Linked DNA regions of Cricetulus griseus. The protein of the gene in region 2 interacts with the protein of the main gene of each other region in a pairwise test. Links are inferred from orthologs where the notes say so. Each region holds a gene or a part of one and is shown on either strand. Other genes may lie near its edges.

The links.
Region 1: the proteins of Nr4a1 (region 2) and Prdx4 interact in a two-hybrid assay, tested with the Homo sapiens proteins (2 studies listed by BioGRID and IntAct). The link is inferred for Cricetulus griseus from reciprocal best matches to the Homo sapiens genes NR4A1 and PRDX4.

Annotation. Positions count from the first base shown.
Region 1 is NC_048604.1:90,798,871-90,803,250, forward strand, and holds the start of Prdx4 (peroxiredoxin-4), read right to left. Parts: upstream 2,831-4,380; 5' UTR 2,739-2,830; coding exon 2,489-2,738; intron 1-2,488. UniProt on the Homo sapiens protein: Thiol-specific peroxidase that catalyzes the reduction of hydrogen peroxide and organic hydroperoxides to water and alcohols, respectively.
Region 2 is NC_048595.1:397,685,106-397,689,627, reverse strand, and holds the start of Nr4a1 (nuclear receptor subfamily 4 group A member 1), read right to left. Parts: upstream 2,959-4,522; 5' UTR 2,847-2,958; intron 2,709-2,846; exon of another isoform or gene 1,865-2,708; 5' UTR 1,578-1,864; intron 1-1,577. UniProt on the Homo sapiens protein: Orphan nuclear receptor. Binds the NGFI-B response element (NBRE) 5'-AAAGGTCA-3'. Binds 9-cis-retinoic acid outside of its ligand-binding (NR LBD) domain.

The DNA.
Region 1 (4,380 bases), on a different chromosome or scaffold from region 2:
TTGTACTAAACACCACTGGCTATTTCATCACAGCCCCTTCAAGTTATCCCAGATCATGGGATAGTTTTCCTAGAAGGTTTTGAAAAAGGAAATTCCCCAACCCCTTTGAACTGGTTTCAAATGACCCGATGCACATTCAATCGTGCTGCTGTCCTATAAAGGCATGCTGTAACTCTAGCTAGCACCCTTTGATAATAATGTTCCTTCATGCTGTTGACACATTCAAATAACACTTTCAAAACCATTACAAATACTTGCTTCCAAGTTGAACTAAAGTTTCTAGAATTAAGCCTTATATTTTTGTGTAAAAGCCAGCACTAACAGTTGCTCTACAGAGACAAACTGAGGATGAATTTCTTTGTGAAGTTTATATATAACATGTGATTTCTTACCCTGAGTCAGAACTACCTAATATAAACAATCCTGATCTTATTAAGGAGGGCCAGAAAAGAATATAAGAAACGTGCTAAAGTCTGTATATTTTATAGTCATCACTTCAAATGCTGAAATAAGAAAGAGATAATAATAATTGTAATGATCTGTTACAACACTCCTTAAGGATTTTACATATACAGAAAACCATGTCAGGGAAATAAATCTTGTTCTGAAAATTGATATTTGCAAATTTATGGTTTGATATTAACTGCAGTTACTTTGCTAAGATTTTTAAATAAAAAATTCCTTAAAAAACCCTCTGTATCTATTAAAAACAAAACAAACAAAAAACATAGTGATACACACCTTTAATCCCAGCATTCAGGAGGCAGAGGCAGGTGGTTCTCTGTGAGTTCGAAGCCAGCCTGGTGGTCTACATAGTGAGTTCCAGGACAGCCAGGGCTACATAGAAAACCTTGTCTCAAAAAACAAACAACACTGTCTTAAATATGCATTAGCATAAGGGTTCTGGTAAACACAGAGAAGAATAATGAAGACAACTTAAACCCTCTGTCTATCATTGGTTTTACTATTGTTAACATTTTGACCTTTCCTACTTTTTCCAAACACATATCTGGATCATGTTGCATCCTCATCTTTTCCGTCATTGAAAATGTAGTTAAAATGATTTGAAAATATAGACTTAATTGCTCTAAAATACCCCCTTTAATTCTAGGTAAGTCTGTATATGACAAAAACATGTAAAAATTATATAAAAATTGAAAGGTTTTTGGTAAACAGAAAGCTACTATACCTACTAGTTTTTCTTTACTTCCAAATACAGCTTTGGAATGGCTTTGTTTCCAGCAGGAAGTATATTTGAGTAAACACATTTCAGACTGTCTTCCTCAGTCAAGTGAAATCAATGGGACTTGGAAATATTACTGTTTTAAAGCAAAACTGGCTTTCTAAAAACAATCCCAAAGTAGTTATCTGGTACTATGAAACCACAAATGCTTAAGGAGGCAAAACAGCCTTTGTCATTCATTGCATGTGGTAGTGACATCCCATTATCTCTGGAGGTTCATAACTGTGAAGTAGCCAACTGTGGTGGGGCACATTTGTAACCCCAGATCTCTGCAAGCTGAAGTAGGAGGACCATAGTGTTTGAAGCCATTCTATCACATCTGTCCAGACCCTATGCTCAAAAAGCAGACCTCAAATTGTCAAGTATGACTATTTTTTTTCACCGAATACCAGAACATAATGTGCTGCAACAACCAAAATTCAAACATACACCCACAGAATGTCAAATAATCCCTAAGAAAAGTGGGTTAGGGAAAAGCAACTAAGACACAGGCTTTGTCTGGATGTCCTGGTCACTTCTATTTGGCAATCTTAATATCCATATGCAGCAGGCCGCAATTTTCTCACTGTCTACTTAGTCTGACGTGTCCACTAGCTTCAAACACTGGACAGAAAGACAAATAATGAAAAAACCCAATAAACAGTACACAGGATTTACCCATCAGTCCAATTGTGCTACTTCGACTTCCTATCCCAGTTTCCCTCCAAAATACTCTAATAAAGTCTTCATTTTTTTGAACCTTCGATAGTCACTAACTCTACAAATTTGGGGGAGATGACTTCACTAAGAATCTTTGTATGGTATGAAAAAAAAGTTTGACCTTCTCAATATTTGTTTAACCACCTCTCTGTTTAATCAAACTTTCTGTGAATCATTATTCAACTTATCAGTGTACTTTCTTCCCTGAAAAAGACAGGACTGCTGCAAGCATTTTCGGGTATTTAAGGAAGTCTTTTAGTTTTCACAACATCCTTCATGTCTGCAAGCCTGGGACTAGGAACACCCCCATTTGCGGCTTTAGGGGTAACCGCTACCTCTCCCGAAATCTGACCAGAGGAAACTCTTTCTTCACACCAGGAACCCACCTCCATCCTCACACCCACAAAGGCAACGGGGTGGACCCAGAGCTCAGCCTTGGGGGAGCGGCCCAACTCCAGCCCCACCCTTTCGTAGCATCCACAATAAGGGTCTAAGTATCCCCGAGTTCTGCCCCCATCCACCCAACCTTCGCAGAGCACCACCTACTCTTGGCTTTGCTTAGATGCAGGGAGTGATCTGCGGCTGAAAGCCGGGACACCTCTCCCGGGTACACTTGTCCACCAGCATAGAAGTGGCACTCGTTTTCGCGGGTCCGGAACCGATCCTCACTCTCCAAACCCTGCAGAGCTTCGGTCCGCAGCAGGAACAGCAGCAGCGGCGGAAGGATCAGCACCAGCTTTTGGGTCCAGCGACGGGACTGAGTCGTCGCGTCCAGCAGCTTGGACCGCGCCTCCATGACTGAGCGAGCGCGCAAACACGTCCCTCAGCGAAAGCGCGGAGTCCCCTGCCGCCAGAAGGCTAAAACGGCGCGCTGGAGACCACGCGAACCAGGGCGCGGCCTCGCGAGACTTGCTCCGCCCCACTCCGCCCCCCGCCACGTGGGCGCAGGCCCCGCCCCTCCCCCAATGAGCTTGTGCGCCTGCGTCATAGAGTGGGCCAAGCTGAAGTGTTTTCCTAAATTGTAGAAAGCAGCTTCCAAGGGTAGGCGGGGACTGGTCTCCAGAGCTCTGGCGACCCAAGTTCTTGCAGATGTGCTTCCATGTCCATCTCTGTAACAGAGCTTCCCTACCCCCTCACTCCATTTCTTCAGAAGTTCACAGCAACCTATGTGCCTGTGAAGGACAGGGCTTCCCTGTGTAGCTCTGGCTGTCCTGGAACTCGCTCTGTAGACCAGGCTGGTCTCGAACTCAGAGATCCACCTGCCTCTGCATCCCGAGTGCTGGGATTAAAGGCGTGCGCCACCAATGCCTGGCTGCAATTTATATTTCTGATTAAAGTCACCTTCATACATTTTATTGTTGGTTTTGAGAGATCATACTTGTGTGCACTTAGGGTACAGTGTGATGAATATAACGTGGCATGTAGTCATTACCTTATTTTCCTGTCAAGACCTGAAAAGTTCTAAGAAACCCCTCCTAGCACAGTGTAAAAGCACCATTCCCCCTTTACCCACCTACCCCTCTCCCGCTGTTGTTGCCTCTCCTACCCATGATACACTGCTGCATGCCCTGCCACCATTTAGTGACTGCCCCAGCGCCTAGAGCAGTCCCTCCACTTTAGCTTAACAAACACTGAATTGTGACATCACGGTCAGCTTGCTGAGGCACTACTGCTGCCCTTCATGCACTAACCACAACCCAATGTTAGGCCCTGCTTCTCCTTCTATTCACATCTTTAAAAAATATTATGAATTATTATTATTGTTATTATTTTGGTTTTTCGAGAGAGGGTTTCTCTATGTAACAGTTCTGGGTGTCCTGGAACTCACTTTGCAGACCAGGCTGGCCTCGAACTCAGAAATCCACCTGCCATTTTATTTTACTTTAATGGTTGTTTTGTCTGTGTGTGTGTGTGCATTGCTTGTGTGCCTGGAGTGCATAGAGTCTAGAAGATGGCTTCGAAGGATTCCCCTGGAACAGACAGTTGTGAGCTGCCATGAGGGCTCTTGTCCTCTGAGAGAGCAGCTGGCATTCTTAACTACTGAGCCATCTCTCCAGCCCCCTTTATTACAAATTTTTTGATTATGGACCATTACTGTGTCTGGTCTCCCTTCCTCTACACACATTTGACCCATTAATCCTTTCACACCATAAATTCCCAAAGCACAGTTGACATGCATTATATTACTCTATTAGTCCAATATCCTTTTCACCGCAGTGTGATCTATTAATGTAGTTCCATGATTTCCCTCTCTAGATCTAACCTTTTTTTCAGTTTGGTGAGCACTTAGAGATAATCGTCTAATCTGGAAAGCAGTATGTCCCTTCTCTTATAGCAGGAATTAGAGGGCGAACAGCCAGTTTGGTGTGTTAAGTGTGTATGTTGTAAAATCCAATGTGGTGCCGGGGTAGGGATGCAGCAGAGCTCAGTCTCAAAGC
Region 2 (4,522 bases):
CAGGGAGGGGCCAAGTGAGTCTGGTCAGTTTCAGGGACTTCCTGAAGCTATTTCCAGTCGTTTCCCAGACTCTACCAGAGGAAATGTTTCAATCTTGGAGGAAACTGTTAACAGCAAAGCCTCAGGCCAAAAAGGCCAACCCAAGGGTAGCCAAGGGGTGGCTTTGTGTCTCTGTCCCTGCTTAAATGGGTGGTGACTAGGGGGACCCATTTGGGAGTGAGAATCCATCCTGAAGGATCCTGCTTTGTGCCCATTCTACAAGCTGCCAACCAGGAACCACGTGGTCAAGAATCCCTTCTGCATTCAGAGGTTTCCTCAGGAGGCTCCCAAACTCCAGAGCTCACTCCCATAGTCACAATCTTCTCTCCCCCTGCCTGAAATCCTTCTTGACAGGCCCTACTCTCTGGCAACCCCACAGCCCCTTTTTCTCCTGCTTCTAGCCAACCCTAGAATCTGTGGTTTACCTCAAAATCCCAGAATCAGTTCTGTTCTTTCCCATACTCAACAGTATATCCATTTGTAGACAAAGGAACCAAGGCACAACAGTGGCCAGGAATGAGGGGGCCTCAGGCTGACTTCCCCCCGCCCTAGCAGCTCTTTTCCAGCAGCTTTGGAAAGAAGGCGATCCTCTGCTCCCTCTTTTTATTTTTCCACAAGTCTTTTTGAAAATACATTCTAAAATATTTGCCAGTGTAGGAGAAATACATTTATTCAGACAGGAATGGAAAAAAAAATGCTGTTAGCAGTTTTTCCATGGAGGCTTCCAGCCCACAGCAGTCTCTCTATAAATACTCCTACCCCAACCTGCCTCAATTATCTACTCTATTATAATAATGAAATAAAGCAGATAGAAAAATGTGAAATGCTAACACTCTTGGACAGCTTGAAGAGACTGGCTGAGATGGCAGAGGTGGATAAGATCCAATTGGCATGTGATAGACACACAGGTCGCTAAGAGATGAACAGCTATGGAGGAACCTTGGACAAAGAGGGCACCCTCTGGATACAAATAGTACCCCCTGGACATGGAGGGGTACCCCCTGGACACGGAGGGTACTCCCTGGACACGGAGGGTACCCCCTGGACACAAAAGGCACTCAGACTTAGCTCTCCTTGCTCTTCCTCAGGAGCAGGACTCTCTGGCCCACCAGCTTCCAGCTTTCTCCAGATGTGGGACTTCAAAGGAGTGACTAGCCTGCTCTGAGCTCCTGTTTCCTCCTTGGAGACACAAGCATGGTAACATACCTGCTCCATAGCACCATCATGAAGACAGTGCCTTTGATAGCAGACATGAAGGTAGCAGGCAGTGACAAATCTACCATTTCCATTCAGGGAGACCTGAGGAAAAGCCAGGTCTATGATTCTTGCCTTGGAGCTGTTCCTGCAAAGTGCCTGGCCTAACTCAATCCAGTTGATGTTTATTTGAGGGAAAGGGCAATGTGACCTCTTACTGTTATAATAGATACCCCACAAACAGCCCCACTGTGGTTCCTTTAACTGCCTTCCTCAGCTAGTCAGTGGCCACGCAGCCCACCACAGCCTGGTTTTCTAATTCTCAGAGAGTACTCTCTACTCACCGTGGTGTCCCTCATTCTTGCCATCGCCTTTCTGCCATTTCCCAGCTGCTCCTGTAGACTGGAGAGCCAAGAAGCAGGTGGACCACTCACTGGTTTGTAAGGTTTGACCTCCTGGAGCAGGTAAGGACGAGCACAGTCTTCACCAGTACTGACCTACATTCTAGAGAGTTCCCAAGACAGGAAGGCAAAGCCCTGCAACCAAGAGCTGATTCTACTGTACAGTATAGGTAGGAGCTCCAGATGACATGGCGCTAAGGAGTGAGTAGGGGCTCAATCCCAGGGCCACCCTGGAGGAAGAGAATGTGGGGTACAGTATGAAAAAGACAGAATAGAAATGGAGAAAGAACCACCCCATGGAGGTTAGGCTGTCACAAATTTCAAGGTATGAGACAGGGATAGGATGACAGTCCCAAGGGTGGAAAAACAATAAGCCATGGTGAGCCACAAGGAACAAGGCCATCTACCACATCTGATGGCCTGGATTCAGCTGCCCAGAGCTGGGGAGTCAGCACCTCACTTCCTCCCTGCCTGATGGAGAGGATGTAGAGGGGTTAACTAATCTGCTGGGCCCAAAAGGGACTCCCCTGCCTAGGTCTCACCCAGAATTCGCCAGGGACTGGAAAGGGGATTTCCCTTTACAGGGCCCTTCCTCAGCCTTAGGATCAAGAACTACTTGGCTGGGGTGCCCCCACCTCTTCCCAGGTTTAAGCATACACTCAAGGACAAAAAAAAAAAAAAAAAAATGGGGACACATAGAGAGGGTTTCCCAGGGGCTATCCCTGGGTTCAAGAAGACCACTGGCAGGCAGATCTCTGTGAGTAAAAGGCCAGCCTTATCTACAGAGTGAGTTTCAGGACAGCCAGGGCTACACAGTGAAACCCTGTGTCGAAAAACAAAACAAAAAATAAAGTAAAATATTTTTTTAAAAAGCCGTAAAAAAAGAAGCAGTAGCACTGGAATAGGATGGGACCAAAGAGCATCTTCCTTTCAGGCGCTTCATCAAGTGTTTCCACATTTGTTGTCCTTTTGTTGTTGTTGTTGTTGCCACTGAGTATCATCTGGGCCAACATGAGAAAGTGGCCCAGGTCACCAGGCCGGAAATGGAGGAAGTTAACGCAAGATTTCCCACAAATCAAAGCCAGGGCTCTTGATTAAAAACACACCAGAATCCTCTGCAACCTTAGGAGTTTCAAAATCAAACTCCCTCCCGTCAAGCAAAGGTTGCAGAGCTGCATAACTGACAACGTGAGAAGTCCGTAATTGCACTACCAGAGGAGCAGGAGCTCGGTCATCCTCCGGTGTCAGGTTCCAGATTTGTCACCTCGCCCGAGACCGGATCTGGTCCGAGCCCTCCTCCCCGGGACCCGCTACCGGAACACCGAGCCGGAAGGAACGTGGCGGTCCCCGTGGCAGCGCCTAGCCGGGGTAAGGCCATGCCCCCCATCCGTCCGCACCAGGCCAGGCGAGCCGGGCGCGGCCGGGGAAGCCGCTACGTCACCACGCTGTCCGCTGGGAGCCCGCCGGGCCAGCCAGGATTCCATTACATCACCCAAGCCGCGCTGTAAACACCGCTGCCAGCCATTGGCTGCCGCGCCACCCTCCCAGCCAATAGCAAATCGTCGTCGAGCCAACGCTTCCTTTGGCTACAGTGTCTGCAAATAGACGTCATTGCCCGGGTGGGGGTGGCCTGGCCCGGGGATAAGGCGGGTGGGTGAGGGTGTGTGGAAATTTGCAGCTGGGTTGGTTTGGAGACTTGGCATCCAAATCTGTTCCAGCCACTCCCGAGAGGCACGGAGTGCGATTAAAGGTGAATGCCCTCAATTCTTAGGCCCTTTTCCGTTAGACCCAAACAAGCCCTGGTGCAAAAATGAAGTTAATTGCTGGGCGTGGTAGCACAAACAAGTCTGTGATAATCAGCATTTGAGAGCTGGCCAGCCTGAGCTTACAAGAAACCCTGCCTCGAAGAAAAGCAAAACAGAAGGGCTGGAGAAACGGCTCAGCTGTCGAAAGCGCTGGCTGCTCTTGAAGAGGACATGGGTTTTGGGTCCTCACAACCCTTCTGGATTCCAGTCCACGAGCTCCAACGCCCTCTTGAACCTCAGGCATGTACGTGGTGCACATACATATATAAGCAGGCAAAACTCTCACACATATAAAATAAGATTTTAAAGTTTGTATTTTTTTTAAAGCAAAACAGCCAAAAGTACCACAACTTGGAAGAAGGGAGAAGAAAGAAATGAGAGATGACGAGGTACAGAAAGGTGGAACATGCTTCCGGGAATGCTCAGGGCAAAGCCCTGTGAGAAGACACCACAGAGAACAAAAAAGAGACTCTTTTCCACCCAGGATGTAGTCAGAGCTCAGTTTAGGAGCCTGGTGTCCAACAATTTTGTAAGTAGCCAATGAGTGTCGTTTTATCGCTCAGGCTTCTCCAGAAAAGCAGATGCCGTAGCACATAATCAGCTATCAGTAGCCTCATAGTCCCAGAGGTGGGAAAACAAGATAAAACTACACCTGTTATACAGAGGTTTTTTCCCCCTGTCACTATACCCTAAATAATTGAGTATTACAATAATTCACATAATACTTATCACACTAGACATTATCAGTTCGCGGAGCTTTAAAGTATAAAGAAGAGCCAGGTGTGGTGTTTTGTAATCCCAGCTCTCGGGAGGCAGGGAAAAGAGGATCTTGAATATGAAGCCAACCTGGGCCATACAGTAAGACTGTCTTAAACCCTAAATAATTATAGGGGAGAATGTGTATGTGGTACATGCGAATGTCACACTCTTTTACATAAGGAATTTAACCCCTCATATCCTGGCATCCTGGGGGAGTCCTAGGATATCCCCAATGGATAGCAGGGAATCTCTGACTATAGAAATGTAGAGAAATGTCTCGGGAAATTGGGGAACCAAGAATGCCCAAATCTGCTGTATGCACAC